Linked DNA regions of Caenorhabditis elegans. The protein of the gene in region 2 interacts with the protein of the main gene of each other region in a pairwise test. Each region holds a gene or a part of one and is shown on either strand. Other genes may lie near its edges.

Region 1 (3,859 bases), on a different chromosome or scaffold from region 2:
GATTAGGTTCTTAAACTCACAGGTTAGACTCTATAAATTGCTTTAAGAAATAATGAAAATGTTATATTTATTTCTAACCAAGTCGCAAATCTTCTTTCAGAGATCAAGTTCTAAAAGATGCCGATCAATCAGCTCCCAATCTTCCACGCGTGAAAAAAACTACAGGTGGTGCAGCAGTTCCAGTATTTTCGGACAGTGTGTTCTCCAATGCATTAGATCAATACAACTCTTTAACCGACTCTCGAGGAATCCTGCATCGCCCTCGTAGTAGATCACCATTCACTAAACCAGGGCTCTGGGAGCCGAATCCAGATGACCCACATAATCGCGATCATGCTAACAAATACTATTATCACCCGGAATCCGTGAACGTGGATTGGCTCCAGGGCCAAATCGCTTATGGTGCACATTGGGCCGTGCCAGCTGCTGGAGTTGGAGGTACTGATGGGTTTAGTGCTATTCACTTTCCCTCTATTGGAACTTTCCTTAATATTCCTGATGATTATGATTAATTATTTCTATTTTTCTACTTTATTTTGATTAATGAAAAGGAATATAAATACTATTTGCTATTGAGATGAGATGAGATAAAATGAGGTTGGTGAATAAGGGATAAGGGATAAGTAATGAGGAAAAAAACGAGAACAAAATAAAATTAAATTTGAATTTATGTACACACACAATAAAATGAGAAAAAAACGCGATCTGATTAATATATTTATCGCTTTACAAACATCATGACCAATCGCTTGTAGTCCTCGACTTGAGTCTCCAAGGTTAAAACCATTGCTTGAAGTTGAACTTTTCGCTTCTCTAGACGCTCTCTTTCCTCCTTTGATTCGCGAATTTTGGCTTGGCGCTTTTGACGAGATTTTTGGGATGCTAGATTGTTCTTATCCCGTTTATGACGGTAGTCCGATGACGAATCGGACGATACCGATGAAGTTTTGCGCCCACGTGTTATTGTCGTTTCAACTGTTGAGGAGGAAGATGATTGAACTGAAATGGTTTTTAATGTTTAAATTGAACAAAGAGCTGAGTTAAAGAATATATAAATGGGTTCAGACGATGACGTGGATTTTCCTAATTAGTGTGATACTGTCTTAAGCTTACTTTTATTATTGTGCACAAGCTGTGGAAAGAACTCGTCAACTGGATCAATGTCCGACGCTGGAGGAGAAATGTGTGAAGCGTTAGAAGGAGAGGCAATGGAATCATCATGAATGTAGGCGTCAAGAGATGTGATATCACAGCTCATGAGAGAATCCAGATCAAGAAAATCTGCATCTGGAGATGCAGCCGAGGAACTATTGGCGGCTGGTGGGAAGGCTTCTGGAACCGGTGGGAAATCGAATGCATAGTCGAAGGATGTGTACTCTGGTACATCAAATTCAAAGCTCCCGTGGGAAGCTTGTGGCGTGCTCATGTTGGGCTCTGAAAATTTTATTATTCAAATTATGATTCAAATTCGCTCAAATTCGCCAACTAACCGCTCAAATAACGGTCCGCTTTCGGTAGGGAACGTCGTGTCATTGTAGTCGTGTAGGTCGTTTGCTCGTCGAGAACCACAATTAAATCGCAATTTGGTTGATGCGTGAACTGTAGTGGAGATTGCTCGGCAGAATTGATCTGGTGAAGCTGAGGAACTGTAGTCGTCAGGCAATCCGGCAGGTTTCTGCAAGAGTTGAGGATCCGACGATGGTTGTGGTCGGCGTGGACTGCATCCTGGAGCGGTGAGTGGGCCAACGGCGGAAGTGGCGGCGACGGAGGCCAAGCCGAAAACCCGACGGCTAGTGGAGCCGATAGCTGAACAATTATTTGTAAAAATAAAATATTCGTCCAATTATGAAAAACTAACCGGCTCCATACTTGGCCTCGTCCATGAAGCAACACTGTTGACTGAACATGTTAAAATCGGTGGTTGTCTTTGCGTGATACATTGTGGAGAAAAGAAATCTTCGGGAAGGCCGTCGAAATCTAGTGACAAACGAGCTAGCTTCTAGCTAGGTGGGGAAAACTTTTCTGAAATATATTAATTATCGATTTTATTCGTTTTAATTTGAATTGTATTGATTTTTTATATTGGTGATCGCCACGTCATCGTCATAAGATAATGATTTAAAAAGGTAATTATTATTTGTATATGACAAACCTGGAGAAGGCGATGAAAGCGAACTGATGGACGTTTTGATTGCTCCGCGGACGGTGGCGGTCGTGGGACCTTGAAACTGGTCCCTTGCTGAAAAATACCACCGTTTAGGCAAAAGCATGTCAAAACAATCGATTCCCGTAAGCAAAATAGAAAAAAAAAACAAAAAGTCACCAATGGACAATTTGTCAAAACGAAAGAATGAGGCAGAGAAAACCCAAAAACCACGTTAGAGCGGACGCTCCACCCACTATTGCACAACATTTGGCAAGATTTCACATGATGTCACCCAGTCGGAGACAGACGACGGGGGTCGACAAGACACTGTGTGTCGCAAGAGGATTAGGGATGGCAGAGTGTGTTTGAATAGGACAGTGAGCGTGCGCCGACCGACACAGCCGACCAACAATGTGAACGAAGTGTGGAGAGGAATATGTGTTGATTCAGACCACAACCAAAAGATCAAGGAACTGAAACACACATTCTGACCCATCGTTGGGTTACTCAGATGGTGATCATCGGTACAAAAGTATAAATAGTATGAAAGTATTCTGATTCACATTGACAAAATTCATGAAGCATCTCTAATTGAACAAAAACTGGATTGCAGGAGGTCACAATTGATGATGATTGATTTCCAATTAGATATGGAAAATTGTTAGCTTCTCAAAAATACCTGAAGTACATGTAAAAAATTGTTCCCGTACCGTCCCAGAGAAATGTATGAAAAATAACTATTATTGTGATTCAAACAAAAATTAATCAAGCATTTATATCACAACCGACGTCACTACTTATCAAGTACGACATAATTTATTCAAATACATTGTGAATTTTTATATACAGACAAGATATGGTGTGAACTCATTACTTGTGCGTTCTATGAGCAAATTTATTAACATTTGCTTATTTTCGATATTTGAATTTAACACATAGGTATAATAACAACTTCATAGAACATATACATTCCATTTAAACAATCGCACATTGGACTTTTGCTTCAATTCTTCATAACGTCATTTGATAAGAATTGAAGATTGATAAGCGGAGTTTTCTGAGTAATCTTCGCTTTTTTCCAATGTTTACCCTGTTCAATAAAATGTATTTCTGACTAACCTTTTTGATCACACATTGCATTGACAGGACGTCGAAAGGGCGACTTGTTAGAAAATCATATGATCCATTTGAAGACTGAGAATACAAAATGTGAAAGATTTTCTTCAAATGAGTTCAGTTTATATAGTCCACTCTTGATGCAATGTTGTGCAACAGTATGTCACAAGATGTACCTAGTCACAAACTACTGTAGTTTCATAATTTTCAAAGCGGAGTACTCTCAACGTAGGAACAGTTTTTTTCGTTTATATTTTAAAGTTAATGAATCATTTATCCAAAAGGCTGCTTGCCAAAATTAATCAACATTCGACAAAGCTCCTGGTTGATTCAATTATAAAAAATAAATATTCAATTTTACATTTCTTCATTAATTTTTCTTCGATTTCCGTTTGTATGACTTTATGTTATTGAACACAAATAAGCGATTGCAATTGTTGCCAAGCAACCGGAAAAACCAGAAAAACAAAGACGTAAATTTGTAGTCAGAGCAAAATATGAAAATGAAAACCAAAAATAGAATGTGTCTGTGGCTTCAGCTTCAAAGTTCAGGAGATCAAAGGAAATTTTGAGCTAACTCCGGAGTTGGGATAATGT
Region 2 (3,709 bases):
GGCAAAATTCCGGCAAACTGCAGGAATTGAAAAGCTTTGGCAAATTGGCAAACCGGAAAAATTCCGGAAAATTGCCGGGATTGAAAAGTTCCGAAAAATTGGAAAACCGGCAAATTTCCGGCAAATTGGCAAACCGGCAAACCATTTTTAAAACTCACAAGTACGCATAAATGAGCCAATGAGCCAATTCAATCATCGTCGGCCAGCCAACACAGAGCACAGATTATATGCCGAAACGGCAAATTTTGTGAGAAATGGAAATCTTTAGCCTCGCGATGACATTTCAGAGGCAGCAGCTGTTATTTGGAGCCCCGCACGTGGTGAGAGTGAGAACTCGAACAAAATTTAGAGAGGAGGAAAAGTTGTTGGAAAACGATCAAAGGTGAGTGTGGAGAAACGGATATGAGTAACCGGAAGAAGTTGTTTTTTGGAGTAAAGTAAAAAGAAGTTGTTTTTTGGAGTAAAGTAATTTAAATTCCAAATATTATAAAGACAACTACTGAATGTAATATATAATTCATCTCATCGTTAAAAAGATTGCAAAATCAACCAGTTCATATTCTGGCAATGTTAATTCAAGCAATATACATGTTAAACATAAGCAAAATAGTTTGGGGCAGCGGAGAATCTATATACAGGAAACGACCAAAACAAAAAAGGAAAATAAAATAAAGGGGAAAGTTAGTTGATATATTCAACAAGAACCACTGATACAATAATACAGAATTATGTACATTACAAATTATAGGACATATGTCTGGAGTTACTCGTCCTCTTCATCCAGTTTGAATGTCTCGAGGAACGTGATCAGGTCCTCGACTGGCACAATTCCCTTTCCCAGCGGGATCATGTCCTTTTCGATCTCAAATTCGTGGATTTCGACTGGATCTTCGACAATCAGCACACGTCGGTTCTTGCACTTCACTGTTTGCTCCAATTCGATGTACTGAAAATTTCATAAATTGAAAATCGAGATTTTATTGCTGCTCAACTCACTCTACTTCTCCCTGAAGTATTCCTGGCGTTCGAGTTGTTATTGTACACGATCCTCGTTTCCACGTGGCGCTTTCCTCGGATAGAACACGTGATTGATGCAGTCGAGGCCATCAGTCGGCCTTGTGAATCGAGTCCTGGCTCGAGATTTCCGTATTCCCGGCAGTTTGTGGTTCGCAGGTGACGAGTGGTAGTCTGAAAAAGTTATTGGCATGAAACAGAAAACTGTTTCTCGTACTCTGCCCTGTGATCGGTTCAACGTTGCCACCACAAAGCTGTCTGTCATCTGGAATCCTTCGTTTTCCATCTCCAGTTGTTCGAGCATAGCAAACAATAGATGGAATGGCATTTCAGTCGTTGCCTGGATCGCGAATCGAACCACATTTTGACCCGTCTCTTTCGGCTCGGCCAGGAAGGAAGTCTGAGATTAAATTTAATTCTTTCAGGAAAAATATTCTCAAGAAATTAACCAGAATCAAACTGGAGATATCCTCGACCAACAGCATGCGGCACTGAGCGGCGAAATAGTGTGGTCGCTGATTGGGATGAAGGAGCACGTGCTCGACAAGCGCTTTCTCCGATTCTCTGGTCGTGTTGAACCATCTTTGCGAGAAGAAGTCGTAGCGCTTGAGACGAAGACTTTCAATCGGCATTGTTTGAATGCTTCTGAGCACTTTGACAGCTTCATCGCGGATGACTGTCTTGCTCGGCTTCTTGTCGACGAGCTTTGGAGTCTCATCGATACGATGCAGGGAACGGTAGTTCTGATCGTCGACGAGCTCCACGTCTTCTCCATGCCCTTCGATAATTACATCATGATTGATGTTGGGTTGTGGTGGGAGGGCAGAGCAACCGGCTCGAGCGGTTTCCAGGTGATCTTCTTCGTTGTAGTTGACCACGTATCTGGTCGCTGTCAATTCGCGAAGAACGGTGCGAGATGGAGCTGACATTCTGAAAAATTTTGGTGTAAAAAATTAATGGAAAAGAAGAAAACAATGTGCTCAAGTGATTTGCAGATTAAGAATAATTTACCGATAAAGCTATGAAAAAGATTCATTAAATCTCTCTGAGCATCAGCTTAATACATCAGCAAAGAAGAAGAATTCACACGATCAAAAAATTTTGTTGGGCCTAAAATAATGAAATTGTTGCGCTGATTTTTCGCGGGGAGATCATTCATAAAAATTACAATATTCATTCAAAAATAAATACTTTTGGATTTGTTTTATTCACTTTTTTTAATGAAAAATTAACAGTGATTGGAACTTTTTAATAATTAAATCAAGATTTAAATATCAGAAAACAACAAAAATTCGTTCGAGAACTTTCTCAAGCCTACCGTACTCTTTAAAGGCGGCGCCTGAAGATTTTCACATGGCTATCACCACGACGCAAGTTAAATTTGACTTTTTACTTATAATTCGTTCTTTTTATTGCGATTTTTTAATATTTTCAGCATCGAAAAAATTTAACAAACGTTTTTCTTATTTTTAAAACGCTTTTGATGCTTTGTGCTCGTCTTAAAAAAAGCTGAAACGAATAATTCTCAAAAAAATTCGTCTTTTCTGGGTTACCGTACTCTTTAAAGGCGCATAACAATTTTCACATAGGTCTCGACAAAGCGTGGGAGAAATTTGAATTTTCAATCAAAAAACGTTTGTTTTGTTGCGATTTTCAGGCTTTTCCTCGAGTTTTCAACGCTTTTTGCTCGTTTTTTTCGCTCAAATAAATTATTTCAGAAGATTCTACAATGGGGGTTATCATCCCCGCTGTACTTCTCGCTTCGGCGACGGTGATTGCTTGGCTTATCTACAAACACTTGAGAATGCGTCAAGTTTTGAAGGTTTGATTGCAAAATTCATTTAAAGATAAATTGAATAAACTTTCAGCACCTCAACCAACCACGATCATACCCAATCGTCGGTCACGGACTCATCACAAAGCCCGATCCAGAGGGATTCATGAATCAAGTGATTGGAATGGGATATTTGTATCCAGATCCACGGATGTGTCTTCTCTGGATTGGTCCATTCCCATGTCTTATGCTCTACTCTGCCGATCTTGTTGAACCTATTTTCTCTTCCACGAAACATCTGAACAAAGGGTTCGCATACGTTTTGCTTGAGCCATGGCTTGGAATCAGTATTTTGACGAGCCAAAAGGAACAATGGCGTCCAAAGCGAAAACTATTGACACCAACCTTCCATTATGATATTCTCAAGGATTTCTTGCCGATTTTTAACGAGCAATCGAAGATTTTGATTCAGAAATTGTGTTGCCTCGGTGTAGCAGAGTGAGAATTTTAATTCTTACATAACTCTTTCGAACGTTTTATTTCAGTGAAGAAGTTGATGTTCTCTCCGTCATCACCCTTTGCACTCTTGACATCATCTGCGAAACTTCCATGGGAAAAGCTATCGGTGCTCAACTCGCGGAGGTTCGGGAAATTCTTCCATCTATTTAAATTTCTAAATGTTTTTTTTTTCAGAATAACGAGTATGTATGGGCGGTGCACACAATTAATAAGCTGATTTCAAAGCGAACAAATAATCCGTTGATGTGGAATTCATTTATTTACAATTTGTACGGTATTTAGTTTTAAAATTTTAAATTTATCATTAAAGATGATGTAGTCGAATTTTTTTTTGCTTTATTAGACTCAAAATTGTCTGAAAACTTCTCAAAAAAAATTATGACGGCTCAAAAAATGACCTAA
Region 3 (7,749 bases), on a different chromosome or scaffold from region 2:
GTGAACCTTTTCTTTTTGTTTTTAGGCAGTTTTTAGGCGGTTTTGGTCAAAAATTAACAAAATTCTGAAGATTTTAGCTTTTTTGCAAAATTTTCCGACAGATTTGCTCCGTTTTCAGCTGTTTTCAGGATTTGCTTACAAAACTTGGTTTCGTACAGTTTTTTCTTGATTAAAAATTTAATTTCGGCCGAAATTCGTGGTTTTTTTACAAATTTTCCGAAAGATTGCATATTTTTCGGCTCATCTCTCTCTTGATTCTTCACACAACAAACCTTTGATATTATCAATATATTGCCTCGACATTGGCTTATTCCCATGCCCATTCGTGTCGATTCCGAGTAAATGCAAGAAAAATATGCTTTTCTGTTCCCGCATTTTATCGTTCAATGCTTCATCGGTTTTCGCAGTTTCCAGGAAGTTCTGGAAGCTTTAACGTTTTATTAAGATAGTTGGTGTAGTCAAATTTTTTTCATTGTTTTATTAGACCCAAAATTGTCTGAAAACACCGAATTTCATAATGAAACTTCTTGAAAACTTCTAAAAAAAAAACAGTTATGACGGTTCAAAAAATCGGCTAAAATTAGTTAAAATTTGAAATTTGACCGACTTGTCACTTGTCATTTGACCGATCGACTTTAAAATACCTAAATGAAGTTGAAAACGCAAAATAATTACATTTTAAACTCAAAATTTTACAGTGATTTCAAAAAAATTAGTTTCCAGCCGCTTGACAAGTCGGTCAAATTTCAAATTTCAACTAATTTTAGCCGATTTTTTGAGCCGTCATAACTTTTTTTTTGAGAAGTTTTCAAGAAGTTTCATTATGAAACTCGGTCTTTTCAGACAATTTTGAGTCTTGTCAAGCGATAAAAAAATTCGACTACACCACGTTTAATTAAATTCCTATACCTCAAAATGCTCAAAAACCCATTTATCCAAATTAGAAGCATCTTTCGACGCGAAATCCTCCTCGTCTGCAGAATATGAGAATGATTCAGCGTTGGGAAGATCATCGAAAAGGTTCACAATATCCGGACTTCCCCACATCCAACTATACGACGATCTATTGAATACACTATCGAATTGAACTGGATTCTTTTTCCATCCTTTTGCAACTGCACTTATATCTTCAGTAATTCCAGCGAATATTGCCACGTGGCCCGGCCGGGATTCCGTTGGGATATGAGAACGGGATAGTCCATAGATTCCCTGAATAATAAATTAATAAATTAAATGTTTTATTATCGATTTTCCAATAACCTTTCTCTCATTCATAATTGAATGTAAATATGGAGATTTGTCGGGATATTTATTAAATGTGTCATATCGTAAGCCGTCTGTAATTCGATTTTATTGAAAAATAACCATAAAACCTTGAATGTAATCGAAAAACCTGCTGAAATTATAAAAATCCGTTTTGCAGGAGCCTCCTGACTATTTATAAATTGTGGAGGAATCCCATGAACCAGGGGGCTTGTGTAGTAGACATCGAAAATTGAATAAATAAGGACGAGGTGCACAGTGATGCTGGCGATTAGAAACTTCCACGACATTAGGGGATATTTATCCCCGTATTAATATAAATTATTTCTTCTTCTTCTCAAATGTTTAAAGTGGGGAAAGAGCAAGTGTAAAGTACACGTTGTTGCTCGATTGCTCTGCGCCGGCCCGGGGACGAGGGGACGAGGTGTCGGATTCTAGGCCATTTATATTTTTATTTAATTCTCGCTGATTAATACTAACGTTTACTATTTAAAAAATCAATTTTTCTCGAATTTTTCGCTTGAATAATCAAATGATAGGATATCCAATCGTATTCCGATGCTGTGAATGCACTGTCGAAGAGCGTAAGTGCCAGAAATATCGATTTTTACACAATTTTTTCTTTTTTAGAAACTATGGAGCACTTGGAAAGTCACATTTGGAGCCGGCATTTGCAAGCTTTTCCGTTTAAATGTGCATATTGTGATTTTCCGGCACTCAGTGCGATTAGTTTAATGGATCATTTCGCTCAGAATCATTCGGATGTGGCTGTAAGTTTAAAAATAACTTAAAACTGGAGTTTTCCACGAAATTTAATTTTTTTTTTGCTTTCAGATCGTAGAATTCAAGCGAAACCTGGAGGATGAGAAGCGTTTCCGGAAAATGGTTGCCGATTCGATTGCAATTGAAATCGATGAAACTTCGCAACAAGATTCGAGCACACAGATGACAGTTCTACAGCCGATGGTTCGAAAATTTGCAGAATTTGAATTGATTTCCGAATAAAATCGATTTTTTTTAAATTTTCAGATGCAGCAAGGCACCGCACAAATGATATTATTACCGCCGGAGGGTAGCCAATATGATGTTAGTTTCAAAAAAATAAATTTAAACTTTTTTTTTTATTTTCTAGTTTTTCAGGAAATTGTGGATCACCGAGGGCCTGATGAAGACGATTTTGGAGTTCTGGATGATGATGAGAATATAGAAGGTTCATGGAAAATCGATAAATTCAGAAAATACAGGAAAAAATATAGGAAAAATCAAAAATTTGCTCGAAAAATCAATTTTTAAAATGTCATTTTCAGCTGGAACCAATGATTTTTGTATGAAAATTGCTTCCAAAAATACTTCCAAAAATATTTTTCACTTTCTTAACCAAAAAACCCACAGAAACCGGAAAAATTGAAAAAAAAAATCTCCAAAAATACTGCTTGAACAGTTTTTAAATTTTTTTAAACAAAAAAAACCACAGAAAACAGAAAATTGAACAAAAAAAAATCAAAAGAAAACTTTTCCAAAAAATTTTTAAAATATTTTTTTTTAACGGTTAACGGTTTTTAAATTTTTTTAACAAAAAAAACGCAGAAACCGACAAAAAATTTTTTAAAAAAACCAAAAAAAATTTTTTTTTGTAATTTTGAAAAACAACCTTTGGAAATTCTTTTCAAATAATATTTTAAAAATCAAAAAAAAACCAAAGAAATAGAAAAAAATTTGAAAAAAGAGCTTTCAAAAATCTTTTTTAAAATATTTTCTTAAACTAAAAAAACGTTTAAGAACCGAAAACCAATAGCAACTTCAAAAATTAACTACAATAAATCAACTTTTAAAATAAAAATGTAAAAAATGTAAAAATAAACAAAAAAAACATTTTTTTTTAACTTTTTTGAGCCAAAAAAAAAATTTTTTAACTGACAAAAAATTTACTTTCAAATAATTTTAAAAACCAATTTTTATCCAAAAATTCACCAGAACAAATTGCAGAACTAATTGACGACGATGATGATGACGATTATATTGATGAGCTCGGAAATCCGGTATTTATTGGAGCTCACGACGATTCTGATTACATTTTGGAAGATGATCTATCACCACAAGGACCAATTCGAAGTAGTAATAACTATGTACGACTGAATTTCAAATTTATTTTAAATATCAAAATTTTCCTTTTTTCCAGCATTTAAAATATATAAGAACTCGAAGAATGGACAAACTCATTGATAATGTGGTGGTCAACGCGACGCAACGGGATTCTCCGGAACAAGTAAAAATTTTTTAAATTTAAATATTTTGAAATTTCAAATTTAAAAAAATCCTAATTTTCAGGAGGATTGTTCCACGAGCGGAGTCGCATTTGCAGATGGTCAGACGAATAGTGGAAAAATGGGAAGATTCAGTTGTGATCGGTGTTCTAGGACATTTAAAGTATGGGGAAAATTTAGAAGAAAAAAACAATTTTTTTGGAAATTTCATAAAAACAGTGATTAAGTGTGATTTTTTTCGAATTTTTTTTTGAATATTACAGCTTTTCGAATTTTCAGAAAATTGGAAGATTTGTTGAAAATTACAAAAATATCACATTTCTGAATATTTCTAAAAGCCTAAGTGTTATGTATAATTTTCACAATTTTCAAAAATTGAAAATTCATGGTGCCGAAAAATTCTAATATTTTAAAAATTTGCAGATTTTCAAATCTTCAGAAAACTACAAAAATTTAATATTTCTAAAAATTCTGAAAGCCGAAAAATTCCAAAAATGTTGAATTTTTAATATTTTCGAATTTTTAAAAATATTCAAAAATTAAATGTTTCCGAAAAATTCTAAAAGCCGAAAAATTTTTCGAAAATTTTCTGAAAATTCAGGAAGCCAAAAAAGTCTAACATTTTCAAAGATTTCAGTTTACCTAATTTTTAGAAAATTGAAAATTACAAAAAATATCGCATTTCTGAATATTTCTAAAAGCCTAAGAATTTTCAAAATTTTCAGAATATTGAAAATTCGAAAACCGAAATATTCTAACATTTTCGAAATTTAAGCTTTAAAAATCTTCAGAAAACTACAAAAATTTTGAAAATTCCAAAAATGTAATATTTCTAAAAATTCTGAAAGCCGAAAAATTCCAAAAATGTTGAATTTTCAATATTTTCGAATTTTCAGTCAGTATAAATTTTTGAAATTGTTTAAAAATTTAATATTTCCGAAAATATTCAAATTTTCAGAAAATTAAAAAAAAATCTTTTTTTTTGTTGAAAATTCGGAAAATGTTCAGTTTACCAAATTTTTAAAAAAATTGGAAATGTTGAATTTTTAAACATTCCAAAAATTTAATATTTCTGAAAAATCTGAAATCCGAAAAATTCCAAAAATTTTGAATTTTTCCGCTTTTCGAATTTGAATTTTCAAAGAATTAAAAATGTTTGTAATTTTCTGAATTTTCGAAAAGCGAAAAAATCCAATAAGTTTGAATTATTGAATATTGCAAAAAATAATAAAAATAAAAATTTGCAAATTTTCTGAAAATTACAAAAAAATCTGTTTTTTGTTGAAAATTCGAAAAAAATCTAAAATTATTGGATTTTTTCCAGTTTTCAATTTTCAGAAAATTACAAAAAATTCAAGAAATCAAAAATTCTAATAAATTTGCATTTTTAAATATTACAAAAATTTAATATTTCCGAAAATTCTAAAAACCGAAAAATTCGAAAATGTCAGAAATAAGGACATTAATTTGAGTTTTCTAAAGCCAAAAAAAATTGTTAAACTGCAAAATTGAGGTTTTCTTTTCAAAAAAATGTTGCAAAACATTTATTTTTTATTTTGAAAATTTGAAAAGCCGAAAAATATCAAAAATTTTGAATTTTCAGCTTTTCAAATTTTTTAGAAAATTACAAAAATTTAAAATATTTTAATTTTTGAATCTTCCGAATATTCAATATTAAAAAAATCCGAAAAACCTGCAAAATCGAAATTTCTTTTCAAAAACAAAACAAATAATGTTTCAGTACCAATCCAAACTGGATGAACATCGTCGAACACATCTCGGAGTAAAACCATTTCAATGTCACTACTGTACCCGCCAATTCTCTCAACGTGGAGCTCTTAAAACACACATGAGATTACATACAGGAGAACGTCCATTTGTATGTCAATGGGAATGTGGAAAACAATTTGCTTCTTCATCTGCAAAAAGTCATCATGAAAAGACACATAGTGGAGAGCGACCGTATATTTGTAATGTTTGTGGAAAAAGTTTCACGAAGAATTCACATGTTATTCGGCATCTTAAGGTTGGGATTTTGTAGTACTCGTGGACAAGAAATTGAAACAAAATATCGAAAATAAAATTTCCAGATTTTTTTTTTGAAATCTAATAATCGGAAAAAATTACAGAACAGGAAGAGATTCGATTTTGATAAATTCCCAACAAAAAAATCTGAAAACGAAATTTTTTTTTGAAAATTAATTTTTTTAAATTGTAACATTACAGAATCCTCTTTTTTCCTCTTTTTTCCATAAGATTTATCAAAAAATACTGGTTTTTTTTTTAAAAAAAAACGTCGAAAAATAACAATTTTCGATTTTTTAAACGTTTTTTTTTTGCGAAAAAATGACTGTAAATTTAAATTTTGATGGAAAAAATGGAAAAAAATATAGAGAAAATAAAGAAATTGTCGATTTTTATGAGAAAATGTATAGAAATTACTGAAAAATTGAATATTTCCGGCAAAAAAAAAACAGAAAAACGAAAATTTTTGATATTCGCTTTTTTTTTGAAAATCAAAATATTTATGGAGAAAAGGAGGATTTTTTGGAAAAAAAATGGAAAAATAAAAATTTTCGATTTTTTAACGTTTTTATTTCTGAGAAACAAATGACTGAAATTTTGAATTTTGATCGAATATAGAAAAAAAAAACTAACATTGTAAGAGAACATACGGCGATATATAGATTTTCAAAAAAAAGACGATTTTTATAAGAAAAAGTATAGAAATTACTGAAAAATTGAATTTTTCCGGAATTTTTTTTCGCTTTTTTTTTGAAAATCGAAAAATTTATAGAAAAAAAAGAGGTTTATCCAAAATTTGAAAATTTGAATTCTTTACAATTTTTTTGTCGAAAATCGAAAAGCCGACCCTATTTATGCTCCTGCTGAATATCAATGTGAAAAAATTCAAAAAAATTTCCCTGATTTTATATTAATTTTTTGAAATCCGAAAGTCCTAATTTTAAATTAAAACGATAAATTTTGCCGCCAGAGACTAAGCCACGCCCATGATAACCGTGCCGCAGGTGTGGATTTACAAGATAATATTTTTAATCTATTTTTATTTAATTTTCACACCAATTTTCCCGCTTTTTCGTTGTTCACATTGAAATGCTGTGACTTTCTTTAATTGATGGCTTTTTATTAATGAAAACAACTAAAATTACATGAAATTTTATATTTTAGCAGAAGTTCGGAATTTCATTTGTTTTAATTAATAAAAAGCCATAAATTATGGGAAATCACAAGAATTTCAATCTAAAACTACGAAAAATCGGGACAACTGGTATGAAAATTAGAAAAAATGGATGAAAAATATTAATCTCTCGTAAATCCACACCTGCGGCACGGTTATCATGGGCGTGGCTTAGTCTCTGGCGGCAAAATTTGTCGTTTGAATTTAAAATTAGGAGTTTCAGAATTTAAAAAATTAATATAAATCAGGGAATTTTTTTTTGAATTTTTTTGCATTGATATTCGGTATCAGGAGCATAAATAGGGTATGTAGAAAAATTTTGAAAAAAAATTCAAATTTTTGACAGAAATTGGCTTATTTTTTTCGAACTTTCAAAAAAATGTCTGAAAATCATATTTCAAAAATGATTTTAAATTTAAAAGATACCCTTTTTTCCAGAACATTCACAATCGAGAACTGGCTCAACAGGATGCAATGCTACGTGGCGACGATGTCCAATCGACCGATGAATCTTTAAATATTGTAAATATTTTTAAATATAAGATTATTTTTATTTTTTCTGAAATTCTCAACAAAAAAAATCAGAATTTTATTTTCAGGGCTCCGCGCGAAGTCAGATGTCCGATATAGAGCCACGTGGCAAAGAGATTGGTGTAGTGCATGATATTGTTGGTAAGTTTTTGAAGGAATTGGGAATATTTTAGAAAAATTGAAAAAATTGAATTTGGAGTATTAGAAAAATTTCAATGTTTTTGAAATAATGATGGAAAAGTTTTTTAAAAAATTATTCGGGAAAAGTTGTGAAAAAAACCAAAAAATTTAAATATATTTATTTTTAGAAATATAATATATTATTTTTTTAGGATTAGGGATTTCATGTTAGTCATCCAATTTATAATTGACATTTAAAAACAAAATTTTTGGGGTAAATTGAAAAAAAAAATTGTGTTTTAAATTCGAAAATCGAGATCCCGTGAATCGACGCAAGAGCTACAGTAGTCATTTAAAGTATTACTGTAGTTT
Region 4 (4,662 bases), on a different chromosome or scaffold from region 2:
TGCACTTTTTCGAGCAAAAGTTTTCGTTTTTCGGTTTTTCTATAAAAAAAACCGAAGCCCGGCAGGACTGGACGTTCACAGGATATTGCTCTTTTTCCCCCAACCCAAGTAGATCAAAACCCCTAATGTCCCTTTAACCTATTCCATACAAAATTAGGTCCAATCTCATAAAATTCCTTATTCATCACGTCAATTCCACCACTCAATCACCGTCTTCTTTATTTGAGAGCGGTTCCACCTCATTTCAGACGAAGAGGGCAGAGAAGACAATATATATATATATATATATATATAAAGAAATGAACACATAACATAGTACGACTACTGGAAAAATGAAACACAATTGTAGATTCAGGTTGCAGCAGCAGCAGCAGAAGAATAGGCATGGAAATGGCCAATTAGTACGGGATGGACCCCGATAGTGTGAGGGTGGACGGGGGAGACGCAGAGAAAACCAGTCATCGGGGGATACTGGGATTACCTTTTGCCGTGAAAAAAAGAGGATTGTACAGGCAACCGGGGGCAATCCCATTGTTATCCACCTAATCCTATTTGCCACCATTAAAATGCGCTTCGTGTTCCGAAGTGGGGGGGGGGGGGGGGGAATTCGAAACTTTTGAAACTTTTTAGAGTGGCCGATGATGGAGAAAATTCGGCCACCAATTTCAGGATTTTTATATGTTTTAGAACATTCAAAAAAATTGCTGAAACTGCCAAAAAATTTAATTTTATAAAAATTGATTTTTTTTCACACTTATTTATTTTTAAATTACCGAAATTTCAAAAAATTCCATTTTTTCAAACTTCATTACTTTCTAAATTTTTAGGATTTTTTAAACGAATTTTTAAAACAATACTCTGGAATTATTTATTTTTTTGGAATTTTTTTTTAATTTTTTTTTTTTATTTTCAAAAATTTTTCCGGTTTTTCAATTTTCACAGAATTTTTTTTTTAATTTTTAAATACATTAAACTTTTTCACGTGGTGTCCGAGTGTCTCATTTCGGTTTGATCTACATATTTCTACAAAAAAAGCGGGAGAAGAGACGCGAAGAGTTCTCAACTGATTTTGCATGGTTAAGAATGTGCTGACGTCACATTTTTTGGGCGAAAAATTCCCGCATTTTTGTAGATCAAGCCGTAATGGGGGGCAGCCTGGCACCACCACTTGTTTTTGAATTTCCAACACAATTTTAAAATATTTTGAAATAAATCAAAATCGATTCGGAATTTTTTTTTTTTGAATTAAAAAATTTGTTTCAAATAATCGATATCCTATTTTTCAATTCTCAGTACATTTTTAGCATACAAACGATAAAATTTAAGAAAAAAAAGTCAAAAACCAACCATTTCAGTCTTGAAAGTGGCTCCTCGGACCTTCGCTCCGTCATATTCCTGGCTCCGCCCACTTTCCACGTGCCAAATGCAACCGATCTGAAAGTTTAAAATTTTTTGGAACTATTTTTCAACTTTTAAGATGTTTTCTTTGGCTTCAAAATAGTACATTTTACATGTTTTTCTGCAAATTTCCCCATGCCGCAACCCTAAAAAACTAACCCTTTTGCCTTCATAAAACATATTGGATTGCGAAATACTCCAAACATGCCAACGTGGATTCGGAAAACTGTTTTTGTCGGAAAGTATCAGAGTTGGAAATGAGGAAAATACGTTAGAATATTATTATTTTGATTTTTCCAACAAAAAATATTTTTAAAAAAATCAGTTTTAAGAAAACTTGAAACGTTGGATTTCACGTCGAGAAATGAAAGAATTATAGGCATTTTATATAATAACAAAAAAGAAAATTAGTTTCGAGAACTGTCATGCCATTTGGGTGGCTAAATGGAAATTGGGAGAAATCGGGAGAGAACCTGAATTGGCAGTTTGCCTCCAACTGTATGTCTATAAGAAGGTATATGTCTACAAATTGTCTACCTACCTGCCTACAAGGTGACCTACGCCTACCTACAAGGCGGCCTGCGCCTACACATATTCCTGATTATATTCAGTGTTAGTTGAACAGATATTTGAAAAATAATATTTAATTGGAAAGTTGAGAAATGTGCAAAAACTAGGCGGTAGGTAGGAAGGCATAGGTAGGCCTGCGACATACGCCTACCTACAAGGCGGCTTGTACCTACACCTTGCCTACACTCTTGCCTACTTACAAATCATTCCTGATTATATTTAGTGTTAGTTGAACAGGTATTTAAACAAAACATTTAATTGGAAAGTTTACGAATGTTCAGAAACTAGGTGGTAGGCAGGCAGGCATGAACAGGCAGTATATACCTCATAGGCAGGCCTACACTCGTCCCTACTTCCTGGTCCCTTTTTTCTCACTGTTTCAGTGTTGAACATTCAAAAAATTACTTCAACTGAAAGGCAGGCATGAGGTAGGCACGTAGGCATGTAACAAAAAATTTTAAAGTTAGAATATTATTGTCATTAAACAAGTAATAGTTCTATATAATATCTTTTTCAATTTAAAAATTGTGCGATTTTTCGAAATATTGTTGATTTTGCCCGATTTGAGCACCATTACTACTTATACTACTAATATCTCAGCTCATTTTGAAAATATCAATAAACTTTTAATTACAAAAATATAGACAATTGTTAAATAAATCTTTTCTTAGTTGACAATTTTTTGATAAAACCAAAACCAACCGAGATATGAACCGGCAAAGTTAGGCTAATCGAACATATTTTCTACCTGAAAAAAAACTACCCAATTTCAAACCAGCAAATTTCCAAAATGGTTAGGAATATTAAAAAGCTGCCAACTGACGTATTTTTCAGAAATTTTTGGGCAACATTTTTAGTTGACAATTTTTTGTGAAAATTTGGAACAACCGAGATATCAGCCGGTAAAATTGAGCTAATTTTTATAAATTTTTAAAAATATTTAAATTTTGCCCAATTCTCACCTGTACTGCCGACGAGCATTGAGCGTTGCCGTCGAGCCCATCATATAGGCGTCAGGCATTTTGTGTGAGTCCCAGGCGTGTGTTTGTAGACGTCAATAGTTCAAATAATTCTGAAAATCATCATTGCAGAAAATTTTAAAAAAAACGAAGCGTATTGGGAGAAAAGGTGAATAGGGTAAAACGAGAGAGTGAATGAATAGAATGGAACGTAAATATATGAGAATAAGAAGAATGGGGCGAGAGAAAGTGTATGTATGAAGAAGCTGAAAGAGGTCACAATATTATGTAGTAGTAGTAGTACTATACCAGAATTTTTGGGTGGTGGCCGAAAAAACCAAAACTCGGCCACCATTTCAAATAGAGTCGGGGTAGGAAAATTTCAAAAATCCTATTATTCTAATAAGCTTGCTAATTTTTTCTGGCTTTTTTTTAAATAGAAATATAGAAAAATATCGGCTGGAGTTTAAATTTTCTGAGAAAAATTTTTGGCGGGAATTTTAATTTTCTGATAAAACCAATTTTGGCGGAAAATTCAAACGACTGGTTTATCTATATTTTTATATAAATTTTAAACAATAAAAATCGACTTAACAATGAGAAAAAGGCGAAGAAAGTGAGGGAAAAATAAATTTTTCAAAAAAAAAGTAAACTTGCGGGAAGAATCATAACTCGGGTCATTTTTTAGATATACAATTTTTTCAATCACAAATACAAAATACATATGAGTCCAAAATTGCATGCATTTTAGTACTCCTCATCTCAAAATCTAACTATAATAGTGGCGGTGGTCATCTCTTTCAAATATCACCCACCCCACTCGAAAGCCCTGGTAATGTGAGAAGCGCGCGAAATTCGAATCTCGCCAATCTGTGATGAGCTGAGACTATATAGTGATGGTGTGGCCGAGTTTTTCAAAAAGGGAGCAGTTTTGTATGTCAAATTTAGTAAAAAATTCCCGAAAACTAGGAACACGGCGGCGGAAGCAGTAAATGATATCGGAAAACGAACAAATAGTTCGTCTTCATCATCAATATGTGTGTGTGTGTGGTGGTGGCAAAATGACATATGTCAACATGGAAAGTGCTTGTTCTTCTCATAAAACTATCGAGACAAATGGCACATGGCGGTCGTGGTGCGGGTCGGCGATAAAAGATGTACCCTCAGGAAATTTGAGCGGAATTTATGCGACAAAGCTTGATAGAACAAGACGCATATGAAAATGAAAAAGTTAATAAAGCAGCCGACACCTCACGGGCGGTAGCGGGAGGTAGCGGGCGGTAGCGGGCGGTAGCGGGCGGTAGCGGGCGGTAGCGGGCGGTAGCGGGCGGTAGCGGGCGGTAGCGGGCGGTAGCGGGCGGTAGCGGGCGGTAGCGGGCGGTAGCGGGCGGTAGCGGGCGGTAGCGGGCGGTAGCGGGCGGTAGCGGGCGGTAGCGGGCGGTAGCGGGCGGTAGCGGTGCTGTAGCAGGGCGGTAGCGGTGCTGTAGCAGGCCGGTAGCGGGCATCAGCAGGCGGTGGCGGGCGGTAGCGGAGTTTTTGTAAAAGCCAGTAAAGTGTCCGCTGCAAATCGTGTTTTCCACGCTGCGGCCGACATCTCACGGGTACAGGGATATCCATAATTTGAACCACCTATTTCTCAGTAACCATGGGAGCTATCAAAAAATTGCCAACTAGCAAAATATTGCCTAAAAAATTGGAAAATTGGTTTCAATTTGCCAGTTAACAAGTTTTTCAT

The links.
Region 1: the proteins of memi-2 (region 2) and zip-2 interact in a two-hybrid assay, tested with the Caenorhabditis elegans proteins (one large-scale study listed by BioGRID).
Region 3: the proteins of memi-2 (region 2) and ztf-23 interact in a two-hybrid assay, tested with the Caenorhabditis elegans proteins (one large-scale study listed by BioGRID).
Region 4: the proteins of memi-2 (region 2) and ZK131.11 interact in a two-hybrid assay, tested with the Caenorhabditis elegans proteins (one large-scale study listed by BioGRID).

The regions. Positions count from the first base shown.
Region 1 is NC_003281.10:832,468-836,326, reverse strand, and holds zip-2 (Transcription factor zip-2), read right to left. Parts: upstream 2,240-3,859; 5' UTR 2,153-2,239; intron 2,023-2,152; 5' UTR 1,868-2,022; coding exon 1,859-1,867; intron 1,807-1,858; coding exon 1,491-1,806; intron 1,435-1,490; coding exon 1,114-1,434; intron 1,000-1,113; coding exon 719-999; 3' UTR 516-718; downstream 1-515. Other genes in the region: dos-3 (Delta and OSM-11-like), read left to right, coding at 101-512. UniProt on the Caenorhabditis elegans protein: Transcription factor that binds to the promoter and the enhancer regions of target genes. May act together with the bZIP transcription factor, cebp-2. Involved in responding to mitochondrial damage.
Region 2 is NC_003282.8:13,398,563-13,402,271, forward strand, and holds memi-2 (MEiosis-to-MItosis transition associated), read right to left. Parts: upstream 1,945-3,709; 5' UTR 1,944-1,944; coding exon 1,464-1,943; intron 1,415-1,463; coding exon 1,232-1,414; intron 1,189-1,231; coding exon 997-1,188; intron 947-996; coding exon 764-946; 3' UTR 506-763; downstream 1-505. Other genes in the region: cyp-31A5 (CYtochrome P450 family), read left to right, coding at 2,744-2,836, 2,883-3,286, 3,334-3,430, 3,482-3,576.
Region 3 is NC_003279.8:3,053,118-3,060,866, reverse strand, and holds the start of ztf-23 (C2H2-type domain-containing protein), read left to right. Parts: upstream 1-1,701; 5' UTR 1,702-1,795; coding exon 1,796-1,847; exon of another isoform or gene 1,848-1,893; coding exon 1,894-2,033; exon of another isoform or gene 2,034-2,097; coding exon 2,098-2,229; exon of another isoform or gene 2,230-2,292; coding exon 2,293-2,349; exon of another isoform or gene 2,350-2,403; coding exon 2,404-2,473; exon of another isoform or gene 2,474-3,173; intron 3,174-3,249; coding exon 3,250-3,389; intron 3,390-3,442; coding exon 3,443-3,529; intron 3,530-3,591; coding exon 3,592-3,690; intron 3,691-5,268; coding exon 5,269-5,553; intron 5,554-7,164; coding exon 7,165-7,248; intron 7,249-7,325; coding exon 7,326-7,398; intron 7,399-7,749. Other genes in the region: pign-1 (GPI ethanolamine phosphate transferase 1), read right to left, coding at 273-420, 910-1,209, 1,261-1,337, 1,394-1,553.
Region 4 is NC_003280.10:13,790,607-13,795,268, reverse strand, and holds the start of ZK131.11 (TORC_N domain-containing protein), read right to left. Parts: upstream 3,041-4,662; 5' UTR 2,990-3,040; coding exon 2,931-2,989; intron 1,435-2,930; coding exon 1,348-1,434; intron 1-1,347.